Xenopus tropicalis: one gene and its partners. The protein of the gene in region 5 interacts with the protein of the main gene of each other region in a pairwise test. Links are inferred from orthologs where the notes say so. Each region holds a gene or a part of one and is shown on either strand. Other genes may lie near its edges. The genes, in order: zfyve9, ppp1r3c.1, sfrp1, ppp1r18, ppp1cc, aatk and tprn.

Region 1 (3,500 bases), on a different chromosome or scaffold from region 5:
GAGTGGGCACGGGTACACTATAAGGTAAAAGGAAAACTGTGAAAGCAATGAAATAGGTGTTGCTTATCCAGACACTGTATGTTACTTTAGCCTCTTTCACCAGCTACAGATAAAAAGTAATGATCAAGATATTTGTAAACTCTCCAAGACATCCTTACAACCAGAAGAAAGGTGATCCACAGCCCTATGAAGCCTAGCCCCAAACATTTGGTCTGGGGCATTGTTGCTTGGGTTTATAAAGCTGTGGATAACTCTCTTGCTGTTATGCCAAGAAAGAGGACAGTGAGGGAATATCAATACTGAAAATTAAAATAACTAATTAGAACATAAAAATATACAATTTTAAAGTAGACACATAAATCTATCAAAGTTGAAAAATTTCAGCGCAAAGACACACAGGGCGATTAGTCTACGCGACTTTAAAACGCCGACCAAATTGCCGATTTTGTTTTTTTAAAAAGTTGCGGCAACTTATTGCCTTGTGTGTCTTTGCCCTTAAAAATACAAGGTACAATTGAAATTTTTCTTTCTGTATTTATTTTTTTAGATATTAACATGCGTCCATATTTTAATATCCTCGGTAATAATATGTAAAAGTATTACTGTTGTACACAGTCTAAATATAGTGACAATAGACTTTATATCTGATAAAAGAAGCTTGTTTTTCTGATACAATTGGGTTTCTGATATTGAATTTAGGTAGTATTAAAACGTAGTGAATATAAAAAAAAGAAAATAAACCCATTTTCTTTTCTTTTATATTCACTACCTTTTAATACTACCTACATTCAATATCAGAAACCCAACTGTAGGTAACATTCAAGCTGGATGCATAATGAGCATTAAAAATATAGACAATTACCTAGCATGGACCAGATTTTGTAGAGTTATGTGTATATATATATATATATATATATATATATATATATATATATATATATATATATATATATATATATATATATATATATATATATATATATATATATATATATATATATATTGTTTTCACTAATAATCCACAATTCTACTTACATCTGTATTCTGCACCTAAACGCAGCATAAGCCGTATGGGGAACACTTTGGCCCATGGAGTCTCCCACTTTTGAATAAGGATTCCAAACAAGTACGGCTCTGCAGGAAGAACCAGGTCCTGGAGAGACTGGTAGGTCGGCGTTACATAAAGAAATCCACCATGTTCCTTACTACCCAGGAAACTCTGGCTCAGGAAGGAATGGCCCAGATTCCCCACAACATTACCTATGAATTACAATGACAAAATGTATTTGTTAAAAACCCAAAAGTCAATTTTCAAACAATACATGGAGCTAAGGCCTAAAACAGATGTCTGATTATTCTAATATTCTGCCCTCCATTTGTATAAACTATCCTACTGAGTTCCAAAACTTCCTTGTACAAATGTGTGACACTGTATTTATAGTAACATGAAGCTGACAGAAAAGAGGTGCAGAGCAAACTGTGCTTAAAGAAATACTTTAATGGGAAAACCTGTTTCATTTTGAAATTTTACATGGGCTAGCTATGTTCTTCAATTCACAGGGTGCCACAATCATATGCTCTGATAAACTGCAGTCACACTTTACTGCTGAGCTGCAACTTGGTGTGATATCAACCCCGCCCTTTCTCCCCCAGCAGCCGATAAGCAGAACAATGGGAAGGTAGCAAGATAGCAGCTACCTGACAGCTGTATTGCTAAAAGTGGTAGATATCAGAATAGCACTCAATAGTAAAAAAAAAAAAAAAAAAAATCCAAGTCCCTCTTGGGACTCCTCAAGTTACATGGGAGCAGGAGAAAACAATAGGTTACTTGAAAGCAATACCAATGTGTAGCACTCGCTCCTTCTGAAAGCCCAGACTCAGACATGATGCACTGAGATGGCGGCCTACACACTGATATTGTAAAAAAAAACATTTGTTGGTTCATTAATAAAATTTTAAATGGTAGAGTGAATTATTTGCTATGTAAACAGTGTAGCTTAGTTACGCCTTAAAAACCATAGCAAGTGTTAAACTTAGATAGCAATTGATAATTGGTAATGCACCTTGCTGTCTGTGTCCTCCTCCCTTCTTGTCATATCAAATTGCTTTGGCTATTATCCCTAACAAACGCAAGAATAGTGTTTTGCAACGCCTATAGATGTACAACTGTATATGTCTGTACAACCTGTAAATGCCAGCATTTGGCTACCCTTAAGATGTTCTTAATAGGGGTGCATCAAATCCAGTTTTTTGGGTTCGGCCGAATACCGAACCGAATCCTAACTAGCATATGCTAATTAGGATTTGTAAGGGTTAAACGTTGCAGTGCGTGTACTCTTTAGTGTTTATGTGGCGACATTAACCCTTCCAAATCCTAATTAGCATGTGCTAATTATATGCATTATATATATTATATGCATTCGGATGTGGTTCGGCCGAATCCGAACCCTGGCCGAATAAAGAACTGAATCCTGGATTCGGTGCATCCCTAGAACCTAAACCTTTTAATTCTGGGCTATTAAAGAAGGCATAACTAAACTAAAAAAAAAAGTATCTCCATTGCATTTATACATCAAAATGTGAAATACAAAATTCCAACAGTTAAATAGCATTACTGGCCTTTTTTAATCTATGTTCAATACACTAACAACTTTAATATTACTTCACTACAGCCTTCTTCCCACCAACTGCAAAATAGTCAGCTACTTTAGAATTCTGGTTTCCATACCCGCAAGCGCCTCCCGGTACAGTTCGACAAAATGGCTAAACAGGTCCTTCGGCAGGCACTTCTCATCAGGCAGGCACTGCAATAGGATTACAATCTCAGCCTGGCCCACTGCATGCATTCCCTTTGTAGTAAAGCACCAGCATTTCCTGTTAACATCTGCAAAAAACAAAAATAATTTTACACATCCAACAGATATAATATATTTACAGATATAATATAATAATACCATGGAAACAGTAACATTGTAAGACACACCAATATTAATATCTATGATATGCAAGAGTGATGTGGGCTAGCTAAAAAGAGATTCCAAATGTCAATGGGCTACAGCAGACGACCGTTAAAGGAGAAGGAAAGTTAAAAACTAAGTAAGCTTTATCAGAAAGGTCTATGTAAATACAGCCATAAGCACTCACAGAAACGCTGCACTGACTTCTCTGTCAAAATAAACGGGATTTTTTGTCTCTTTGTTTTCCTGTGCCAGAGACAGGCAGCTCTATCCTCTCTCCCCTCTCCTGCTCCCACCTCCCTCAAGAATGCTAAGAACTCCCTCCCCCCCTTAGGAATGTGTCATCTGAGTCAATCAGCAGGAAGCTTCCTCATAGTCTTACAAACTGGGCATGTACAGCAGTCATGGTCTTGGTGCGGTTTTAGCACCTTTGTTTGTATGTTATCCTTCCCTAGTGCCATTAACTGGGCATAAATATTAGGTCCAATTTAATGCACTCATTCCATATTGCATTAATTAGAAAGAAAGTCATAATCAAAGTTT
Region 2 (4,179 bases), on a different chromosome or scaffold from region 5:
ACAGTCAAGAACGCTGCTCATTTTTTTCATTCTGACACCAAAAAACAATATTGTCAGCTTACGAAGGTACTGTACATCAAAAAATACACATTTAAGCCAGTTACAAAATAGAAAAATACACTGCTCAGCTATTTCATGTAAAAAGTGCAAGAGTTTCTATTGAGAGAAAAAGGAAGAATAGAGAAAATAAAACATAATTCTCTGCGCCATAAAGGTATTTCATAAAAAGCTGTCATTACTCTTCAGAAGGAAAATAAGGTTTGACTATCTGATGTGCAAAAATATCGACTACAATCATTTCATCCTTTAAGGAACCTACAATTCTATCAAATACCAAATTCACATATAAAGGTGCAAAAGCGATTTGCGTTACCTTCAATATGAAGGAAATTGAATTTTCTGACTTCTGTAATTATCTCAAAAAACATAGAAGACAGGGAATATTACAGATTGCTTACAAACAAGTGCATTTTTTTTTACAGGGCAGGGAGAATGAGGGTATTATTATCCTGAAAGGTTGCTCCTTATTTACACATAACACTAAAATGTTGGACATCTGGTAATCTTCCAATATAATACATCCTTTGTTTTAGGTTTGCCAGAGCCCAGTGGGCCAGAGTGGACAGATGCATTGCATGGCACTATGTTGTACACACCTCTAGCATCAAGTGGGATCAAGAGTGGGAAGGGAAATAGTTCAGAAATTGACAATATATAAGGGATGTAGTGTAACTATGCAGTTTGGTTTTGCAGTTTACTAAATGGCACAGCATTGCTACTGACTATTTTATATTCAGGAAACCTACAATTCTGTATTAAAGGGGTTTTTGGCAATCTTTTAGAAAAGGCACTTTTTACAACATCAAAGCAGATTTGTTGGGATAGCTTAAAGCAACATTGCAGGGCCCTCCCTTACCAAAAAAAGTGCACTGGATTGGTTAGTGCATTTAGACTTTCTGTACTCTTGCCTCCAATGCAAAATTATTCATTCTTTAGTCACATCCATAAAAATTTTGATAGGGATGTCCAAAGTGTGATACATTGGTTGCTGTTGTATTATTTAGTGGAAATTATAGTATAACAACAGCTACAAGGATACCAGTTGCACATCTCTGAGCCACCTTGTATGATCTTACATTATTTAAACTGAGTCTGTGAAAGGTTTTAAAAGTCCAGCTTTTAAAATGAAACCTAACACTACTTTCCGAAGTGTATGGTGCGTTTCGCGCTTACTGGCAGGTCACTAGAAATACATGATAGCAACTCAAACATCATTATGTAAGTATTGCATTGACAGTCTCTTTGTATTTTCAGCTTTTCAACCTTCAGGGGTTGTATCGTTAGCCATTTCGTACCATAAATTCATCCTAAAACACATATCTGCAAAACTCCTTAGGGTGTCTAAGTATTTACTTATAATAGATATACCATGACCTGGATGAATGAAAATCTTCATTGTCATATCCTTAGGGTGTCCTGAATTCTATCCGATGCCCTCTTTGTAAGAACTATCCTCATATGGGTTACTACAAGCTGCTGTGTTTATAGCTCATCATATTAGCCTTACACAAATGTATATTCTGTGTATATGACTAACGCCAGAGATTCAGCTGGCATCAGCACTGAGCGCTCTATTTCTATGGTGGACAAAGGCAGTACATATGGTGTTTTGACAACGTGCTTGTGAAAAGCGTACTGTCCTAAGCTATGGCTGTGAACATATAGCTATCAGCTTTCCTTACACTGTTACTTTATTTGAAGAATTTCATTTGTTTGTTTGCAAATGATGTCTCATCAGCACCGAGATGTCTCGATGAGAATGAATAAAGCAGAACATCAACAATGTTCTTCACCAGTAAGGTGATCCTCCTATTTTACCCCAACTTTGCCATTCGGGGTACAGACCAGCAGATGTTCTGGGGCTGCCAAACTGATCAAAGTCATTGTTTTGTGGTTTCTTCTTATAGTCATATGATGCAATCTCTGTTTTAGTTGGGGTAGGTGTGTGCACACCATCTGATTTCCATTCTGCACGTGTCACTGAGTAGTTCAGTCCATCATTGTTGTCCCAGAAGACCTGCCCTTCACTTTCATAGGATATACAAAATTCGATTTTCTCATGACTGGGAATGTTGGGGGGTATGTCAATGACGAAGGAAAATGTGTCACTGTCAGTGCTTCCATAGACGTTGTTCATGTAGACACAATCAACATCTACAAATGATTTCCAGGTGTTGAAGGTGATACGAATCTTGACAGATTTCTTGTAGCTCAGGTTTTTTACTTTGACAGTACCTGCAACAGATCTTTCCTGAAGGCTGCAATTTTCTAGGCAGACTAAACTCTTCTGAAGGCGATTGCGAAACTGCAGATAATCAGCTGAAGGCTGAGTGAATCCCAGTATCAAGTTCTTCTCTTCATGCAGCTTTAAACTGGCTGTTATATCTTCTAGGTCTATCAGGTCAAACTGAAGATCTAATGAAGATTCATCCTTAAACTCTGAGAAGACATGCACCGAAGTTAAGGAAAGTCCTTTGGAATCAGCAAAGATGACCTTCTTTTTGTTTCTAGACTTTGAGCGGTTCCACTCGTTGCTCCTGAAATCAGATTCCTTTTTCAGACTGAGGCATGGTCTTAGTGGCTTATATCGGTTCACAAAATTTCTTCCCCTGCAATCAGGGGGACTGAGAAATTTTTTTAGCGGTGGAGAATGTGCTAGGCATATCCTAACTGCCACATCTACAGGCATTATGGATCGTGGGAGAGAGCGGGGTTCCAAAATCTGTATCATTCTGTAAAGAGATAAAACCCATAGATAAAATTATGTTTTTGGTCTACAATGTGCACATACTCACAAACATTTAAGAATATATTGTCTGAGCTACCCATTTAAAACTATTCTGTAATGAAACCATGAACTGCGTCACATAAAAAGGAATATCTGCCTAGAGGAGATAATAGATGCGTTGCAGTGCCCCCTTATGGTCTTTAATTGTCAAAATAAAAAACGTCTCATTGTATGCAAAGTTATTTATTTTAAAACAGTCAGTTGTATATTATGGTATTGAAGTCTACATCATTAGTATCAATATTTCTATTAATATTGATAGCCTGTCATGACTTAATAACATGTACAATCATTAAATAATGCTGTGACTTATTACTGTAAAATAAGCTTGAAATTACATTACATTACATTAACATTTATTTATAAAGCGCCAACATATTCCGCAGCGCTGTACAATAAGTGGGTTACATACATTGGACATACAGAGTAACATATAAAGCAATCAATAACCGATACAAGAGGTGAAGAGGGCCCTGCCCAAAAGAGCTTACAATAAGATACTGTCTACTTTAAATCCTTATAAATAAATTCTTTGACATGCTTGCTGGGATAAATGACTCTCAGTCCTGCAAATTATTTGTGTATCTTGAACTCAAAGAACCTACATGTCCATGGAAATAATTTATATACATATCATTTTAACCTTCAACAAACTCAGTACAGAAGAACCTTCAAGTATAATGGTATATATTTCAGAAATCTTTCAACTCTTTAAACACATCAATTCGACTATATCAAGGGATGGCACTTGACCATATATCTCAGACATCACTGTATTCTGCTCATTCCCTACAAAGGCTAAGTTTTACCCATTGTGCTGCACTTTGCAGGTTCTGTAGTAGAACAGAAATCACAGAAAGCCCCCATGCAACTTTGTCTGATAGTTCTGCTTGCAGCAGACTGAGCTGCCCACATTAAAAAGTGTGTGGTTAATGCTAAACTACAAATCCCAGCAGCTCTAGAAAAGACCTTATGCATAGATGCAGGAGACAAGCTGGCAATTTCTAGTATATATAAAGCTTAAAACCACTGATACAGAATTGGGGTCAGTAAGAACCATAATCCCTTTACCATCAATCATACAAATGGACTTCAGTGTATGCAATCACTATTAAACGTAAAATATACATGCATTAGGCATTTCCCTTTGCATTATTACACTTTTTATATTTAATTATAAACCATGGTACAGTCAGTGCATAAGAAAGTCTGATAAACACACTTTTTTTAAATGACATTATAAGACCATTGTATCTTGCCCATACAATGTAACTAGCAGAAAATAGACATATGAATCAGGTACCTCTCTACTCACAGTAGTGCTGAAGACA
Region 3 (2,514 bases), on a different chromosome or scaffold from region 5:
TGATAGGGTGGGTATTATATTAATTCAAAATAATTCATTTTCTTTCTGTCTTGCTTAGTAGGGCAAAATTGCAACGATAATACAAATGTAAACTCCAAGGATTCTGAACCTATAGGTTGGGTGTGTAGAGTGGATCTGTATAATCACCTTTAAAGTTATACCGTGTTCTGCTACAACAGAACGTAAGGTAAATGATTGGTTCTGTGCTCATTTTTCGAATACAGAGCTGATCATGGAACACTATATACAATTGTGGATTCTAATAATGAGGGCTGGGTTGGTCTCCCAGGGGTGGCTGGGAGTCATTGAGCCCTTTAAGGCAACTTTAGGAGTAGTTAGTCAATACCTTCTAGACGGCTGAAGTTAACCTGAAGGCGAACCATCCCTTTAAGCAGAAGGTAGCTAAAATAAAAACTACTGTGAAGCTATTTTGATCATTTGCTTTCTCCATACATTCTGCCCCAGTATCCAAAGAAAGTTCATCACATTGCCATTACTAATGAGAGAATACACAGTGTTTATTGAAGAACATGATGAACATCTGACTTACTAAGTGACTGAATTAAGGTGTACATTAGATACTGATAATGACATTGCACACAATGCTAAGAGAACATATTCATACAGGCAGCGTGTATAACCCAATAACCCAACTGTTCACAAGGCATTGGCCTGTAAGGGATTTGGTGATGGAGAAGGAAGAGCCTTTAGAGAACATCATGCAGGGGTATTTGCATTGCTTGGGTATGGCACCCTCGGAAGTATGACCATGCCCTGTTCCACGCCCTGTACAGACTTCTACATCTCTTGCAGTCTTTCCACAGAATTTGGAAGGGTACTGCCATGTTTCATTGTATACCCCCTCGGTGGAGTTCTGAGCATTAGAGGGGTGTTTGTGGTGCACACAGAACTGTCTTTAATGGGGGGCTGTGAGCGGTTTGGGGCACTTGCTCTTTTTGACCTTGCGCATGAAGCGGTTGAACTCTCGGTTGGTCTTGTCCCATTTGTGTATTGCAGTCAGGAGATGCTGAGACTTCACCTTTCGGCCCAAGACCAGGAACTGTCCCTTCAGTTGATCCAGCTGGTGACAAGGACAGTTGGCGCCATTCTTTAGATAGAGGACTAGGTCCGACCAGTCTTTTTTCTGAATTGGTCCTTTCTTCAGAGCTTTCTTTTTTCGGAGGAGCAACTTGCGGTCCCCATTTTCCTTTTTCACTTCCCGTATAGACACCTTCAGAGCTGTCAAATAAAAACAAATAATTAGACATTGGGAAAACAGTTATGGCAACCCAGTGATGGGAGTTCTATGACCCAGTGGCTGTGAATTAATACTCCCACAATCCTTAATGATAAGGTCTGGTTCTTATGGGGTGCTATTAGTCCCAAACACATTTTGTCTACAAAAATACATTTTGTATACAGACACAATCCCCAGTACATAGAATGAATGTGTGCATTCTGTCAGCAGTTATGTGTAAAGCTACTTTATTATGAATTATGTAAATAAAAACTTGAACAAAATATATAATGGTATAAATAAATAGCATATTCCAGCTAGATTTCCATGAAAAAATAGAAGCTTGTGACAGAATCCTTCTTAACCTATATAGAATGGAGTTTGTAATATAAATATATTCTTTTGTGTGCAAAATTGATTTTGGTCTCATTCTTCATTAGAAATATGTCTTTTGTATATCTTTTACCAATGTATATGGCCACATGTTCATTCTATAATACGGTTTGTTTTTTTGTATACAGAATGCATTTTTGTAGACAAAATTTACTTGGGATAAACCGCTCCCCACTCCCCACTTCTTTAACTACAGATCCCAGCATCTTCCAGCAGACCTTGGCTGTTTTCCAACTATCACTTTGGATATAAAGCCTATTGTATAAACCAACCAACTTGAATTCAGAGCACTCTGGCCAAGGGCAAATACTGGGAAAACAGTGGCAAGAGCACTGATTTGGTGTAGTGTTTGCTCTGTAATTATGTAATGTTCATTATTCAAACACAGAGGGCTTCAATATTTGGTCATTGCTCTTTAATGGACTGCAGGTCATTTCCAAATATCCATATACAGCATATACAGAGCATTTACTTTTGTTTTATCAATGGGGATCCTTTTCCCCATTTTACCCATTTGTTGTCCCTGAATTGGGTACAGAAGCACCCAGCCCCCTTGAATGGTGTAGCCAATACAATAAAACTCTTACGCTTTCACTGTCTTGTGGCTCCCTTGGCTGCAAGTCCTGCTGTAAAAGGTCTATTTTGTGATCCTTTGACTATTTGTTGCAAACAACATGCAGTTATACAGTACTGTAGAATTACTTTTCTGTCCCTAAAAATGGCCTTTTGGTCAGCCAGTTTATTCAACTAGATTGAACAACCATCCATCAAACTGGTACAGTACCCCCACGCTTAGGCAAAATGCTTGGAATGGGGCAGAAATGTTACACAAAATGAGCCATATACTCATCTCAAGGAAAACCAGCAATAAGCTGCCGACATGG
Region 4 (3,939 bases), on a different chromosome or scaffold from region 5:
TATGGTGTACTTTTTATTTCTAAATTACACTGTTTACATAGCGCATAATCCACTCTTACCAGTTAAAATTTTATTCTTGAACCAACAAATGTTTTGGGGTTTTTTTTTATTGTAATATTGATGTGTAGGCAGCCATCTCAGTGCATTGTGCCGGAGTCTGAGCTTTTAGAAGGAGCCAGTGCTACACATTAGAACTGCTTTCAGGTAACCTATTGTTTCTTTTACTCCCATGTAACTGGAGGAGTCTCAAGCTGGACTTGGATTTCTTACTATTGAGTGTTATTCTGATATCTACTGGGAGCTGCTATCTTGCTACCTTCCCATTGTTCTGATGATCAGCTGCTGGGAGTGGGATGATATCACTCCAAGTTGCAGCTCAGCTGTAAAGTGTGACCGAAGTTTATCAGTGCACAGGTCACATGGCTGTAGCACCCTGGGAAATTAAGAATATGGCTAGCCCCATGTGAAATTTTAAAATTAAATATAAAAAAAAAAATCCTGTATTTTTAAAAAATGGATTACAATGCAGGATTCAGCTGGAGAAGTTTCATTAACATGCATTTTGAAAAAAAAAAACATGGTTCCTCATGACAGCATTTCTTTAAACTACAAATTTGGCTTAATTCTAGTATAGAGTGCGGTTGTGCCAGTTGGACAGCACTGATGTACACAATGCCTATTGATCTGGTTAAGGGAAGAGTACTGCAGCTAATAGCAATGACCATAGCTTTATCTATATCTATACACAGGAATGTTAACTGGCTCCTTTATAAAACTGATCATAGTGTGTGTGAATGTGATAGGGACCCTAGATTGTAAGCTTCAAAAGGGGCAGGGCCTGATGCAAAAGTATATAATATAGTATGTAATCTCTGTAAAGTACAAGTATGGGACCTGTTATACAGAATGCTCGTAGTTTTCCAGATAAGAGATCTTTCCACAATTTAGATTTCCATACCTTAAATCGACTAAAAAAGGTACTTGTATTGATTGTATTGTGTCCAATAAGAATTAATTATATCTTAGTTGGGATGAAGTACAAGGTACTGTTTTATTACTACAGAGAAAAAGGAAATCATTTAAAAAAAAAATAGAATTATTTTCTTATAATGGAGTCTATGGGTGGTGGGCTTCCTGTATTTCAGAACTTTCAAAATAAAAAGATTTCCAAATATCGCATTCCATAAATGTACTGCAAAATAGGTCAGCGCTATATAACTACAGGATAAAAATACTTGGAGTAAGAAGTATGTTCAGATTGTGATGGATTATATTTTCCCTAAATAGGATTGCTAAAAACCTTGTAGCATGGCGCACAAGCCCAAATGCATTATGCTGAATGATCAGGTTATACACAAAATAAATGCCAATGGCTAAGGCTATGATCACATGTAGCTGTTTTTTGGGCTGCATACTGGGTCAGACTGGGTTGTGCAGGGCCCATTAGTTTGCCGCCCCAGGGGCCTCAGCAGTGGCCTCCACACCCCCTCCAGGGGCACCACAGACCAACTCCATCCCTCCCAAGTGTGCTTACATTATACCTCAACACGATCAGGGAAAGGAGATCATGTCTGGGTCGTGGAAGCCCACAGAGTTAGTCCAACTCTGGCTGCATATAAATGCAGATGCAAGTAGCAGCTCAACCACTCAAATCAGCCTGGTCTGGTATCTGTGCTAATAAGCACTGCTTCAGCCTGTGTACAGTCACAGAGCAGATTTCAGTGTGAAAATGCATATTGACACTTTTCTGTGCTGAAATTCACTTTGTGTGCAGGTGAGTGGTTCATCTGTTTCTTGGCCTGCATTTATACACAGACCAAAAACCAGCTTTGTGTAACTGTTGCCTATGGTTCAGTTTCTTATACTTTGTGTGGCTTTCTAGTGTTCAGTCTGTAAATTCACCCTAACCACGCATAACTGAAGCACTCTGCATTAAGTTTTACATATGTATTGTATTGTGTTGTGTCCGTCCATATAAATAGTATAAAATATAATACATGAGGTAGCTCTTATTTCATGCACAATTTGCCTTAGTAGTATGTTATTAAACTCAAAACAAACATCCAAAAAGCTAAAACTTCTTACTGTTTAGGATATTTATGTTAAAGCATAAATAATCTGTCATGTGCTGTTGCTTAGTATTTTTTTCCATTAGTCCCATCCTGTCCCCCACTGTTGTGTGTACGTTGTACTGATTTAGTATCTTGAGTATAAAAAATACAGAATGTCTGTGTGTGTCTTGTAGTGGATATTTAAGAGCAGTCTTTGCTTTTTTTCACAATAGGGCATTAAAATGATTTTTTAAAAACTAAAAATCCCAGCATTTTCTTAAAACAAAGCCCATTTGCCTTACCGATGTCAATAGAAAAAAGTACAGTGCTATGTAAGGGTTAACTTGTCTGTAGTATCTCCCCCCACCATCCTTCCTCTCTCCACCCTCCCCCTTTACTCTTAGCATTATGCATAGCTGGAACCTCACCCTCCACCCCCCTCTCTCCTTCTGTCTGATTCAATCCCTTCTTCCTACACACCCTTCTCTTTCACTCTCTGGGAATTCCTCTCCAATGCAAAGGTTGCCCAAGCTATAAGTCCCTAGTCTTTACATTGTACATCTGTATTTGCTTTAAGGGTCTGAAGGAATTGGGCTCACTTGAAGACGTGTGACGCTTTGGGACTTTCCACAGAGAAACGCTACATATTCTTATGTTTTTGGGTTTAAGTTTAACAAAGGAAACTGCTCCAGACATCAGTTCACTTCTCCTAACATCAAGGCATCCTGCTGGGCTATAGGATGTATTAGAGGGGATTGTGCCTGCTTACTCACAATAAAGGTATGTAACATATCTGACTATATCCTGTGGGTTTCTGCATGTCATTTCATATGTGCATACAAGTACAATGAGATCACTTTTGCGCACTCTCACTTCATATCTTCCACCAACTTGTCCTCTATTCTATTTCTTTGGTGCCACTATAAAGTGTGATTCCCACTCTAGTAAGTATTTTTTGAGAGAAGAACATACTCTGATTTACCTTTTGTTTAAATCCTCACCAATCGCTACAACACAGGTTATGCAGTATATTTTCATACTTTAGTGTTATTTGTGCGATAATATACAGTCTCCTACATACATACATAGACAAACAAATATATAGACTTAACATCCTTCTCACTGTTTAAATCTATTTTACTCGGTGCATAGAAAGTACTGCTGTGTATGCAGCTGCCTATTTTTTTGCTTTTGTCTTTACCTTCCATGAATCTCCTAAACCTTAGCGATGTACATCTCCTCCGTTTTCTGTAGAACTGTCAGTGCATCTCCCTCTTTCCTGTTTGCCCACTCATCTCTTGCAGGCATGTCTGAATTATTTGTATCTAGTTCTCCTATTTTGCTTTTTCTCCCTTTTCAGAATGTATGTTTTACATTTCTTTGTCTGGTTCAGCAGTATGGCTATCTGTCAGTCTAGACAATTCCATCCTCCTCATTTTAATTTGGTTGCTCCAATTGTTCCACAGATCTGTATCTGAAGAGTTTCCCAACTTGAAGACCAGACAATTATAATCTGTAAGATTTTGTTTGTACCATGAGAAAAACAGATGTATAAAGGTTGATACTAAACAGTTTTAAATTTTAATTCAAAATTGTAATGCCTTATACTGAAAATACTTTCAGAACCTTAGTTACATTATCTAGACCCTTATTTTGTATAAAACATTGCAGAATTGTTTTGTCCATACATTTAATTAAGCCCTCTAACAGTGTATTTCAGCCTTTTCTTACCCCCATGCTTATTTCTCTTTTTATTCTGCGTATCCTCTTTCTCTTCCTCTTTCTCTTCCTCTCTAATGAACTCTACACATGCTTCTTTATATGTCATTTGACTTTTTAAGTGTAACTTTCTTTTTTAGCTGTATGAAATTATTTTCCTGTCATTACT
Region 5 (4,067 bases):
TGTATCCAAAACGTTCTTACTCAGCGCGACAATACGATTTTGTCGCACAAATTTTGTCGCAAAGTACGAAAAAGTCACCAAAAATACGCTCGGAGCGTTCGTGAATTAGTAAATGTAAACATGTTTTATGTTTGTAGCAAACGTTGATCAGTCCTGCACATCGAATTTTAGCCCATTCCTCTATACAGAACAGCTTCAGCTTTTGGATGTTTGTGGGTTTCCTCACATGAACAGTTTAAGTTAGGTCGTTCCACAATATTTAAATTGGAGAAGTCAGGACAAGCCCACATCTCATTTGTAATAGACAAGAGGATCTATGGGTAGCTTCTCTAAATGTGACATTTTCAGAGTAAACACTTAAGGGCACTGAATCAGGCACCATATATTATTCATTGTTACCAACACGAGAGTGACTTTCAAAAATCCAATATGTCTCCATTAAAAGGTGCAGTATCCCCCCTTGTTTAACAATAGATCAATAAATAGGTCTTCTACGGAACACTTTTTGCCCATTTCAATTTTTAAAAATCTACCTCGCAAGGACCAAACATGGAATAGCTTCAGTTTTCCTGTTTAGCTCACAAAATAAAAATGAGATTTTTCACAATTAAAACAAAAGACATAAGTATATTCAGCCCCTATTTATTAAACAAATGTTGAGAAAGGAGGTATTATTGTTCCCCATGTGTTTTTTGCTGGGTGGAATCCAGCCTTGCTCGGCCTGCGCCTAAATATTAGACTAATAGTTACAGAAGGTGGTACGACAGTTGTTTGAAGAATCTGATCGCCTACAGCAAGAGAACTTCGGTTTCAGCTGGAGTGTTGGGGCAAGCAAATATTTTTGCTGACCCCCTTTTTCTTTTCCAGCTCAGCCAATGTTTTTTTTACTGGTGAAAACTGGGTATAATGCCCCTTTAATATATGTAAAATATAGGAGCAACAAGGTTTCATTGTCTTGTCTGGACACAACCACTTATATTTTGCCCTTACAAATACATTAGCATATCAGCCTACAGAATTTTAGTCATTAACATTTAGTATGCTGCAGATTTATACAATTAAAATCTTGACTTTTATTTACTTTATATTCACAGTTGAAGGTCTAAAATGCCATGTGAATGCAAGTCAGTGAACTAGGAATTCAGAATCATTGCAAGGCTTTTATTATGTCCTTTTTTACTCACTATTTGTACTTCAATTTGAAGTAGAAAGAAAACAAGAAAATTGCATTCACCGCAGAAAATATGGGCTAATTAAGCCTGCATTCTGGTTGGGGCAAACTATACATTTTGCCCCAAAAAACACTTTGGCTTTGTATGTAATAGGGCTATGCTGTCCACACCAGGAGGTAGTGTAAAGTGGGCAGCCATATTTGGAGCCTAAACATAAGCTGGCACATTCATGCGAATGCGTGCATCACAACAGGAATGTTCACAATGAGTAAGTCAGTTAACTCATTACATATACATAAATATATGTATATAGACTATATACCATAAATAGATGCCCACTAATAGTATTGCTTTCTTCCACCCGAGTTGCAGGGTCTATTAGCCGTAAACAATTTTCCTATCACAGTTGCCCTTTAAACAAGTAACTGGTTGCAAGGACCTGTAACCCCACAAGGGAATTGCAGCCTAAGTTGCCAAATAGAGAACCGAGGAGCAAAAAGTGTTAGAGAAAAAAAAAAGAAAATGTAATGGCACCTCTACACAGAGCTAGTAGCTTACATTTCCTCATTAAAGTCACACCACATCAGCATTAATTTACTAATGAGAACAACAAATGAAAATAGATCCAGTCATTGCTGCTCACCCATTGCCCATAACTAAAGGCAAACTACACAAAATGACACAATCTATTCTTCCAACTCCCCCATATAGTGCATCAGTAAAGCTGCGAGTGAGAGCAGCACAGCTGTGGCACAGGGTCAGGATAACCCCCACCTATTGGCAATATACACAGTTATGAAGGTCAACTAAGGCAAATGGAAATAATCAGCTAATGCACAACATGCCCCCTATGGAGTGAGCAATAATCATAGTTCAATCTAAAGTCTGAAGCACCTTGGTCCCTATACGGATCGCTGCGATTCCCAGGTGTATGGAGCGCTGCGCAGTGTTAAGGATCGGATATACTGGGTGAATCCGGATTCTGCACATGGAATACACATGCAGCGGCTAGGAGCCAGCGGATCGCCTCTATACAATGTATATTGGGCCAGTCCGGCCAATAACTCGTACAACAGCCTGATTAACTAGATATATACTATGAGCAATCAGAGCGGCACCCTGTATGTACCGGAGTATAGAATAAAGTCCTGTTCCGGTAACGGCTCCGTAACGCAACTGCAGGCTGACAGCCGCTCCAACTGCCATATCAATCTCAGCACAAGGAGCCCAGCCAGGATGCTACAAACCCCGCTGCCCCAATAATAACACCGTGTATACATCATTGCTCACTCACATACATAGCTAATGGCAACCCTTTCAACCCTGCCACCACATGAAAGTAAAGTGACAGAGTGTAAGGAAACCCGGCCAGGCCTTCCCGAGTACCATCCTCACCTTCTAACAGTCGCTGTATGATGCTGTCGATGTTAAGCTTGTCAACATCTGCCATTGCTCCGAAAGTCTAAATGGCGGACCCAGTAAACTGTCGCAATAAAAACAGAAGCCCAAACGTACTGGAAACCGGGCAGGGGGCAGTCTTGGCGCCGCAGCGGCTTTTCAATCCCCCTCGCTCGTCTTCCGCTACAGACTCCCAAGAACCTGACAAAATGGCGCCACCTCCTCCCCTGCCGGCCCGCGCATGAATATCTATGCACGACCTGGTACATTTTAAAGACCCAGGCGATAGCACGTACAGTCAAATCTCAACCCACGCTGTGTTTCATTGCGCCAGCCGTTTCTGAAATTTGGCCGTATTTGCGAGCTAGGACTATTTTTTCTCTAGTGCCAAAAGTTAGTACTGCGTATATAAAAAATGGTAACCGTTATCGGTTTTAGGAATGCATTACACGTGTGAGGGTTGTTTTTGTTTTAAAAAAGATCCAGTGACATTGTCTTTGATCATTCTGTGGGTTTCTAGGTTTTGTAAATGATATTTGAATGAGGTGTAATTTCCAAAACAAAGTGAAATACTTAGTAATTTTGAAAAAACGATACACGTAAAATAAAAATAGATATGGCTACTTCACGTCAGCTAAATTTATTGTTTTCAACTAATACACAGAAATACCTTTTGGTAGCCTCCTAACAGGGTTGCCATCAGTAATTATGGGGCTACTCCTTGACACCTGAGCAGTGGATCCTGCAAAAAAGTACAATGGAGCTCCAAAAAAACCCGAATTCACTCCCATTTTTGCCAAGTTGTCCACAATCAGCCCAGACTTCACCCACTAGCCCAAAAGTCTCAGATCAGCTCTTGTGAGAAGCCCTTGCTATCAGGCCCCTGACCAAATTTCCCTCTGTCCCATCTGATGGCAGTGCTGCTGCCTAAGCTGTCACATTTAATACATTAATTGCTGTTTTTTCTCAGTAGTTGCAGAAGCCTTTGCCCCAAATAATTGTACTCCCTGACTTCATGCTTTCTGGCTTAGTAACGCAAGAAGAAACGTGCAGGTATCAATGCTTCTGTACATTGGCCAGGGCCAGGGCCAGCCAGGAGGTTTGGCAATTTCTTGGCCAGTGGAAACCCAGACACCTGAAGATCAGGAGACCAGTGTCTCAACTAGTCCAGGGTGAATAATTATTACCCTACCAACTTAGTGTTAATTGAAATCTCTACACCAGTATTGAAATAAATATGTTGTAGAAAGTTAGGACTAGGCTGCCAACAGCCTAACACCATTCTAAATGTTTGATCTGGTGCTCCCTGCAAAAAACAGCACAACTTTGGACACAAGTGCTCGGTAGATAAGCCCTTGTGCCCTTTAGTGCTCTTGCATCTGTGCCAAGGGCCTTTCTAACTGACCCCTTTACTTTTTTTTATTTCATAGTATTGTCACAAAAGGGGATTGTTTCTTTAAGATTTTTATTAGAATGAATACAAAGCTCCCAGCAGTT
Region 6 (4,063 bases), on a different chromosome or scaffold from region 5:
CAAGCCCACACAATGCTTGAGAAAAAAACAATTTTCTAAGGTGCCAGATATGTGTCAGGACCCATACATGAATCAAATATAGGATTGCCACCTTTTGCGGTGGCTAACTCTGGGCAGGGGGGGGTTGGGGGGCGCGTGACGTCACAGGGCAGGACAGTGATGTCACATGGGTGGGATTATGACATCACAGGGGTGGGGCTATGACCTGGCGATCGGCAATTGGCCGATCACCACCTTAATCTCAAATAGTCCTGCCTGGTTCTCCAAATTGGGGAAACCGGGCAGGCGGTTTTGACCAGGACAGTCCTTCTGAAAACCAGGCTGTCTGCGTCAAAACCAGACAGGTGGCAACCCTAGTCAAACAGCTGCCAACTCAGTATGGAGGGGCTATGTCAGCAGTTTATACTGGCCCATGTAGGTAGGTAGATGGGTAGGATGTATATGAGAAAAAGGTTGAACTTGACACTTGGACAATATTCAATACTTCAGTCCTGAAACTTAACTGAGAAATATATTTTATATGGTAAAAAAAATAAATATACATATATAATAATTATAAATATACATACAAATATATATATGTCTTAATACAGATATATATATATATATATGTCTTAATTACCAAAATTCTGTGAGGCTCTCTCTGTGAGCATAAGGCCTTTGGCACAGCAGTTAGAGGCTTTTTGCCCACAGTGATTTTATCTGCTTCCCTGCTCAATGGAAATCAGTGTCCTACGGTTGGTGTCTGCCAACTATTTCATGTTCAGAACAGTATTTAAGCATACGACCGATATCCAACCATTCGTCGGAAAAAGACTAAAAAATTTGGCATTTTGGGTGAAAGTAGTAAAGTGGTTAAAAAGAGGATATTGCCTTATGTCTATAGGTCCAACATCTGATTTGTCTGATAAATTTTATCAGACAAATCAGATGTTGGACCTATAGCCGTAAGGCAATATCCTCTTTTTAACCACTTTACTACTTTCACGCAAAATAAAATCAATGTTTGCCATGATTGTACCAGATTACACCTTTATACACATAAATATTGACATAACAGCTAAAGCTGAAGCAGACAATAGATGCAGTTGGAGGAAGACACAGTGAGTAAATGCAGAGAGCACAGTTTCCCGCCTGGCAGTGCCTGTGTGTGTCAGGAGCAACACTGGCTGCTACGCTTGTGCCCTGCATTACCGCAGCTCGGCAGCTGAGGGCGCTCTAAGCAGCAGAGGATGGAGGAAAGACGTGTGTGTGTGTAAGGCAGAGAGTAACACAAATCACCCAGCAGCATTGACAGTGCTCACGACTCCCTTTTAGCCTATAACCCTGCATTACACTTCCAGCCATTCTCGGCAGCCGACTAGCGTCTCTCCCCCTGCTCTGCCTGCGGCTCAAGGTATCTGCTCCCTGAGGATCCCCCGGAGAGAGGATGCTGCTGAAGCCGCTGCCACCCACCCACCCTTGCCCCCACCCTTGCCCCCACCCTTGCCCCTTCACTCTCCTGCTGACCCCTTATTTCTGATTTCCCATGTATTAGTGCTCTGATGCTGCTTCTGCACCTGATGCCTGGCAATGGGCGGCCTCCTTGCTCTGATCATGTCCTCCCTGTTCAACCTCAGCTTTGCCTTTAGCTCCCACTTCGACTCTGGTAAGTTATAAGCGGCTTCACCTCTCTCATTCCTTTAGATTTAATGGAATTTGTTTGCCTTTAATCCTTCCCTCCTGAGATCCTAGAGACAAACCCCAGACTCCCCTCCCCCTCTTTCTGCATATCCCTCCCCTCTGCGGATTGATTGGGGAGGCAGGGGAGCAGAGGTCTGGATGGAGAGCCCTGGTACCTGCTGCCTCTGTGCTACCCTACTGCTGCTGGCCCATTCTGGCTACTGAGCCCCCTGTCCTTGTAGCCCAATGCTGGATCCAAACCAGGGGAGGGTACCGTGTGGCTTGGGGATTGTGAAGGCTGCTGCAGAATGACATGTGCTGGGGATTAAACACTGTGTCTGTGGCTGCTGCAGGATCAGACAGATCATTTATCTCACACTGGACTGTAGGATGGACTGAAGCATCTTAGGATATTCAGGTAACATGCACTCACCCCACTTTTAACATGTGCGTCATGCACGCTTCCCTTTGGTGTGGCCCCTCTTGCAGCCCTCCCACAATCACATATTTATGGACCTTGTTGGTAAACAGAAAACTGTAGATTTCTTGCTGCTGGCTTTGAAGGTTATATTCACACTAACTAGCATATAACGGGCACATCCTATAATTATATATATATAATGTAGTCAATATGTAGTCTCTATCATTCCAATCTCTCTTATGTAAGAACAGCAGCATCAACAAATGCACAGCTTTATATAGTATGGTTACGTTATCATGCACGTGTCCATTATTTTTCAAACTGATGTGATCATGTATAATTTGTGTATACAGAGTAATATATATATGTATATACCAAATGTAAGGCAATCTGTTGCAGTGTATGCTGTTATAGAGGCCAGGACTTGTAGGGGCTTAATGGTCGGCTTTTCATGGAGCAGATATTGAAAATAAAAAGATTTTTGGTACTTAATAGGTGACAAACAGGAGACAAATGTTATTTATGGCAGTAATGTAATGCTTTCTTTGTGTATGTTGATCAGCCAGTTGTAATCTCTTAATGTATGTAAAGTATTCAGGGTTTTTTGCATTTGGCCTATAAAACGATGGCTAATTCTGACCTGGTTGGATATAAATACCCTAGAAATGATAAATATGTTGCATTTTTGCAGTCTGAAGAAAGGTGCAATAAAGGGGTAGTTAACCTAAAATGTAACTTTTCAAATGAAAACTACATTTGTAAACTTCTTACATTTTTGTTGTGTAACCATTGGGCTTGAAGTTTTAAGAGTTATTAGTCGGTAGAGAGCCCGATAAGATAATTAAACAATAAAAACAAGAATATCTTAACTGCCATTCTGTTTTGGTGTCAGTGACCCTAGGCAACCTGAAGCCACAAAGAGGCAAATAATTAAAAAAAAAAAAAACATACAATATAAAAAATGAAGTCTTTCTATAACATACTAAAAGTTTATTCAAACCCAAACTTCCCCTTTAATGCCATATTAATCAAAAAGATTTATAGTACAGTGTTTGCTTTTTAATAATATGATGGTGGCCTGTTTTATCTGACAGTTCTATAAGAAAATAGTTCAGAGTTGATTGAGTGTAACTTGTCTCCTCACATACTGTTTGGTCAAAGTGATGTAGAAAAGCATGTGGGCCTGGTTAGTAATGACAGTGCAGTTTAGGGCTCATACACACTGGTGCATAGGTTTTTACTGCTTTTTGACCACATTGTAAATGTATTAAAAAACTGCACGTGTTGGCAAGATTCTTCACTATAGTATGGCTAAAGGGGTGATTCACCTTGGAATTAGCTTAGTATGGAAGACACAGTATTATGATACAATTGCCATTAGCCTTTATTTTGTTATTTTTATGCTTTTGCTATGTTTTACATTTTTTAAAAATCAGTTTTGAAATCACTTTTTACATTATAAGCCTCTCACAGAATGTATAAAGCAGGCATCCTCAAACTACGGCCCGCCAAGGTAATTTACCCGGCCCCCATTATGATCTGACACAAGGACGCAGTGGGGAGCCGGAGGACGCAGTGGGGAGCCAGAGGAAGCAGCGGGGAGTGGGAGGACGCAGGGGGGAGCGGGAGAACGGAAGTTGCAGGGGTGAGCCGGAGGATGCAGGGGGAGCCAGAGAAAGCAGGGGGAGCTGGAGGAGGGAGGATGCAGGAGACAGTCAGAGGAAGCAGGGGGGAGTCAGAAGATGCAGGGGGGAGCCTGAGGAGGGAGTGGGAGGACGCAGGGGGGGGCCAGAGGAAGAAGGGGGGAGCTGGAGGAGGGAGGATGCAGGGGACAGCCAGAGGAAGCAGGGGGGAGGCAGAGGATGCAGGGTGAGCCAGAGAAGGGAGCGGGAATATGCAGGGGAGAGCCAGAGGAAGCAGGGGGGAGCCAGAGGAAGCAGGGGGGAGCTGGAGGCAGAGGATGCAGGGGGAGCCAGAGAA
Region 7 (4,241 bases), on a different chromosome or scaffold from region 5:
TCCAAGATCTCCATTCAATAAAGTTCCCAAGTTCACGGTGCAAGAAGGACGGTCATAGGAGGGGTAATCAATACTATTGCAGATATTCATTCAAGGGGAAGAAAAGATGATACAGAGGGACGGGGAGAGAAGCAGAGAGATAAAGAGAGACACAGGCGGGCGCTCAAACCTTTCCCCACTGAGGGTCCCTGGAAAGGAAAGAGGAGAGCCCCAGCACCGTGATATAAATAACAGTATCCCACACTCCCCTCCTTCCCACACAGCGGCCAATTCAGACATGTGAAAATTCCTGGCAAGGCAATGTTTGGACTAATAAGACTCACCAGCTGACGTGAACCTTGGAACCCGCCGGCAAAGCTGAAATCTGCTGCTTTGTGTTGTGACTCCATATAATCAGCCGTTCCTCCTTGGTACAATCAGCGCTTCTGCCCCATGGAACGCCAGCTGGCACTCGGGTATCTCTCTGCCGCTGTGGGAATAACAGACTTTGTCAGATAGTGACTACTACTTGGCTCACTACTGCCTATATATATATAGATTAACTCCAAGTGTGTCTGCACTCTAATGCCAAATTCAAAAAATGGGTGCTATTGACCAAAAACTGTGTAAATACTTGCAAAAGAGGGTCAGCACGCTAATATATAAAAATAGTGATCATTTATTTAATTGTATTACCCAACGTTTCCGTCCTTACCCTAGCAACCAGGCAGCGGTGTGAATGAGAGGCTGGAAGCTAGACAGAACAGAGGCCTGAGCAGGGTCAGACCCAGGGGCTACCCCAGGGGCCCCCATACCCTCTCAGGGACCCCGACTGCCAACTTACCCACCCACTACTGTGGCAGTAACAGAGGAGGGTTACCCTGGGGAAAGTATATACAGGTAGTACCACAGGAGGGTTACCCTGGGTAAGTATATACAGATAGTACCACAGGAGGGTTACCCTGGGGTAAGTATATACAGATAGTACCACAGGAGGGTTACCCTGGGGTAAGTATATACAGATAGTACCGCAGGAGGGTTACCCTGGGGTAAATATATACAGATAGTACCACAGGAGGGTTACCCTGGGGTAAGTATATACAGATAGTACCGCAGGAGGGTTACCCTGGGGTAAGTATATACAGGTAGTACCACAGGAGGGTTACCCTGGGGTAAGTATATACAGGCAGTACCGCAGGAGGGTTACTGTGAAGTAAATACGTATACAATTGCTTACACAGCAAAAGATAGACAGTTGCCCCGGCAACATAATTGCGTTGGAAATATTTGCGTTTCGCGCCTCGTTATGAAGTTGGAGATTTGTTGTTGTACCATGTGTTCTGACGTAAAGCCTCTCACTCCGCCCACGGTGGGAGGCGGAGAATGAATTGGGCGGGGCTTAGCTAAGTTTTAATTCAGCGTGCAACAGGTGTAGGGGCGGGGCTGCTACAGAGTGACCGACAGCGGGGGTGGGCGTATGTGTTGTGTTGTCACATGGTATGGAGGGGGCGTGTCAGCTTAGGGAACGAGAAGGATGTGGGCGGGACTAGCTTGACAGGAGCTGTGTCCCTGCACCTGAGCTCATTCAGTGAGAAGCTGCCGGCGCGGCGGGACCAGGGAGCTCAGGTGTCTGTCCCTTATCGCCCGCAGCCATGTCCGTCACCGCCCGCCCCTGGCTCCGGCCCGAACCCCACTCTGTCAGCATGCCGGCTTGGAAGCGAGAGGTTCTGGAGAGGAAGCGGGCCAAGAAACAGGGCGTACCTGCCGCAGCCCCGGTGCCTTGGAGCCGGGACGGGTCGCCCCATCGCAGGCGCTCTGACAGGGGTCGCAGCTCCGGGAGAAAATCCAGCCCTGGGGCCGGCAAGGCAGTGAGGGCCCCCAGTCCTGCAGCAGCAAAGGCAGTGAGGGCCCCCACTTCAGCAGCAAAGGCAGTAAGGGCCCCCACTTCAGCAGCCACAGTCAAGGGAGTGAGGGCCCCCAGTCCTGCAGCCACAGTCAAGGGAGTGAGGGCCCCCAGCCCAGTAAAGTCTGCCAGATCTCCAAGCCCAGCAGCGGTAAAGCCCGGCAGGACCTCCAGCCCCGTAGCCGCCAAGCCGGTAATGGCCCTCGGTTCCGCAAAACCCGCCCCCGTGAAACGGAGAAGCGACGACGGCGAGCGACTGGTCCTGCAGGAGAGCCTGGGGCCCCTCCATGAGAACCCCTTTATCCGACTCGAGCAGGAGCGCAGGCGAAAGCAGCCCAGGGAACCCTCCCCGGCCCCCACCCTGCTGGAAATGTATAGCAACGTGCCGGGCATCCGCACCATCCGGGCCGAGAACATAATCATCATCGAGTCCGACCCTGGGTATTTCAGCGGGACTAAGAAGCAGGAGCCCCACGCCGACCCCGTGGAAGCGCTTCTGGCCAAGAGCGGGAGCAAGGTCACTGCCATCAGGGCTTCCGAGGTGGTCATTTACGAGACCCAAGAGCCCGGGCCCCAGAATGTCGAGAAGGAGAGCAGCGAAGTGCAGGAGGAGGCTGGGAGAGTGAGTAGGTTGCTGGAAAAATTCGGCCATGGCCACGGCAGGCCCCCGAGGTCTAGGAGTTGGGACGATATTCTGGATAGAAGGTCCAGCCCATCCCGAGATGATAGCGATAAGATGCCAGCTTTGCCAAAACAGACAGCCCCACAGAGGCACAGCCAAGCCACGGTTAACAAGGCCCCCAAGCGCTACGGAGAAATCTCCCCTTCATCCAATTCCTTCTCGGAGGAGGAAAGTAAACGCTTCCCACTTAACGACCCCTCGTGGCTACCTTCCAAGCCTGTCCTTACCTCCTCTGCTCTATTGTATAAAAAGCCTTCCAGCCCCACAAGCTCTCCAGTAACGTCACCTGGTTTATCACCTTTTCCACTCTCTTCTCATAACGATACAGACGAGAAAGTTGTGTCACCCAGCGTGGCAACCTTCAGGGAAAGGTTTGAAGCCGGCTCCACTGCAGACAATCTACCCCTACCCAAACCGCTGAATGCCACAAAGAAGTCTGGAAATAACACCTTCATTGTCTACCCAAAGGCTGCCTCCTATACCAAGGCTAAACCTTCAGAGACAGTTGGAGTACAGCCTAGCGATGCCCCGGTGCTTACAAATGGTTATGTCGACCATCCTGATGGGAACCCTAAGCCTAAAGCACAGGTCAGTGTCCAAGATCTCCTATCCAAAACTAAGTATAACCGGACCTCTTCTGCAGAGAGGGCCAGTGAGGAACACAGAAAAGTGCCATCTGCCAGTGTTTCCGCAAATCATATCTCCAAGGTTGACAACTCAAGGAGGCCAAAGTCCGAGGCAGACATTTTTAATAGTAATTCCCCTCTAAAGTCTAGTGCCACTCAATCAGAAACCACTTTAGCTGATCAATTTAAACCCACTTTGGCCAGTGCCACCCCTAACCAACAAAACAAGGTCTCCTCCTCCACCAGCAGTAACAGTTCCTTTGAGATCAGGCCCGCCGTAATAACCGATCCCAGCAGCATCCCAGAAGGGGACATCCAGGCAAAGGCACTAGCAAATATCCGAATGCAGTCTAGAAATTCTTTTGTATTCATCCCAAAGAAAAGCAACCCCCCTGTATCAAAAGAAGACCGCCACGAGGTGCAAAAATCTTCCAAAGAAAAGCCAAAAGTCAATGCACCCACCACTAATGGCCCTAAATTAGATTATAGAGACTTTCCTAGAGACAACGGTATACTGTCAAATGGACTGCCTCCATCTCAGACACTCCAAGAAAACACTGGTAACGATATAGATAGGATTCAACTGGAAGTTAATGGTGGGACCCAAAAAGCATGCAGTGTGCCCTCACTTTCAGACTTTGATTGGCAGAGTGGTCTTTTGCCATCTCATTCTTCCACAGAAGGCCATTCTTTTACCGACAAAGGGGCAGAACTAGAGTATTTAAGTAGTGTACATCAAAACAATAAGGTGGCCCACATTCAGGACAACGTCCACCTTACACCCGATATCCCTATCACAAATATAGACGATATAGTGAATTCAGACGTAACGGATGGGGGCGTTCAGGCCAACATTACCGTCAATGGTAACGATTCCCCATTGCCTTCTTACCGGCCTCACACTCCGCTGTCCTCTTCTGTCCACAACAAATCTGGCAACACCTTCACTGTAGTGCCGAAAAGAAAGCCAATTACAGAACAGGAGCCCTTACCAAGACCCGTGCTAGAGGAAGATGAAGATGTGAGCTCTAAAAGGAAATCTTTGGACGGG

Evidence for each region.
Region 1: the proteins of ppp1cc (region 5) and zfyve9 interact in binary tests that used the Homo sapiens proteins (3 or more experiments, as listed by UniProt). The link is inferred for Xenopus tropicalis from reciprocal best matches to the Homo sapiens genes PPP1CC and ZFYVE9.
Region 2: the proteins of ppp1cc (region 5) and ppp1r3c.1 interact in binary tests that used the Homo sapiens proteins (3 or more experiments, as listed by UniProt). The link is inferred for Xenopus tropicalis from reciprocal best matches to the Homo sapiens genes PPP1CC and PPP1R3C.
Region 3: the proteins of ppp1cc (region 5) and sfrp1 interact in a two-hybrid assay, tested with the Homo sapiens proteins (2 studies listed by BioGRID). The link is inferred for Xenopus tropicalis from reciprocal best matches to the Homo sapiens genes PPP1CC and SFRP1.
Region 4: the proteins of ppp1cc (region 5) and ppp1r18 interact in a two-hybrid assay, tested with the Homo sapiens proteins (2 studies listed by BioGRID and IntAct). The link is inferred for Xenopus tropicalis from reciprocal best matches to the Homo sapiens genes PPP1CC and PPP1R18.
Region 6: the proteins of ppp1cc (region 5) and aatk interact in binary tests that used the Homo sapiens proteins (3 or more experiments, as listed by UniProt). The link is inferred for Xenopus tropicalis from reciprocal best matches to the Homo sapiens genes PPP1CC and AATK.
Region 7: the proteins of ppp1cc (region 5) and tprn interact in binary tests that used the Homo sapiens proteins (3 or more experiments, as listed by UniProt). The link is inferred for Xenopus tropicalis from reciprocal best matches to the Homo sapiens genes PPP1CC and TPRN.

What each region holds. Positions count from the first base shown.
Region 1 is NC_030680.2:96,601,196-96,604,695, reverse strand, and holds part of zfyve9 (zinc finger FYVE domain-containing protein 9), read right to left. Parts: intron 2,885-3,500; coding exon 2,729-2,884; intron 1,261-2,728; coding exon 1,036-1,260; intron 18-1,035; coding exon 1-17. UniProt on the Homo sapiens protein: Early endosomal protein that functions to recruit SMAD2/SMAD3 to intracellular membranes and to the TGF-beta receptor.
Region 2 is NC_030683.2:37,168,156-37,172,334, forward strand, and holds the start of ppp1r3c.1 (protein phosphatase 1 regulatory subunit 3C), read right to left. Parts: upstream 2,801-4,179; 5' UTR 2,792-2,800; coding exon 1,850-2,791; 3' UTR 1-1,849.
Region 3 is NC_030679.2:126,995,824-126,998,337, forward strand, and holds the end of sfrp1 (secreted frizzled-related protein 1 precursor), read right to left. Parts: intron 1,240-2,514; coding exon 917-1,239; 3' UTR 501-916; downstream 1-500. UniProt on the Homo sapiens protein: Soluble frizzled-related proteins (sFRPS) function as modulators of Wnt signaling through direct interaction with Wnts. They have a role in regulating cell growth and differentiation in specific cell types. SFRP1 decreases intracellular beta-catenin levels.
Region 4 is NC_030684.2:75,522,123-75,526,061, reverse strand, and holds the start of ppp1r18 (phostensin), read left to right. Parts: upstream 1-1,139; 5' UTR 1,140-2,831; intron 2,832-2,873; exon of another isoform or gene 2,874-2,995; intron 2,996-3,517; exon of another isoform or gene 3,518-3,566; intron 3,567-3,939.
Region 5 is NC_030677.2:162,953,133-162,957,199, forward strand, and holds the start of ppp1cc (serine/threonine-protein phosphatase PP1-gamma catalytic subunit), read right to left. Parts: upstream 2,801-4,067; 5' UTR 2,623-2,800; coding exon 2,568-2,622; intron 1-2,567. UniProt on the Homo sapiens protein: Protein phosphatase that associates with over 200 regulatory proteins to form highly specific holoenzymes which dephosphorylate hundreds of biological targets.
Region 6 is NC_030686.2:26,607,591-26,611,653, forward strand, and holds the start of aatk (serine/threonine-protein kinase LMTK1), read left to right. Parts: upstream 1-1,263; 5' UTR 1,264-1,396; intron 1,397-1,537; 5' UTR 1,538-1,572; coding exon 1,573-1,648; intron 1,649-1,721; exon of another isoform or gene 1,722-2,080; intron 2,081-4,063. UniProt on the Homo sapiens protein: May be involved in neuronal differentiation.
Region 7 is NC_030684.2:1,727,052-1,731,292, forward strand, and holds the start of tprn (taperin), read left to right. Parts: upstream 1-1,441; 5' UTR 1,442-1,631; coding exon 1,632-4,241. UniProt on the Homo sapiens protein: Essential for hearing. Required for maintenance of stereocilia on both inner and outer hair cells. Necessary for the integrity of the stereociliary rootlet.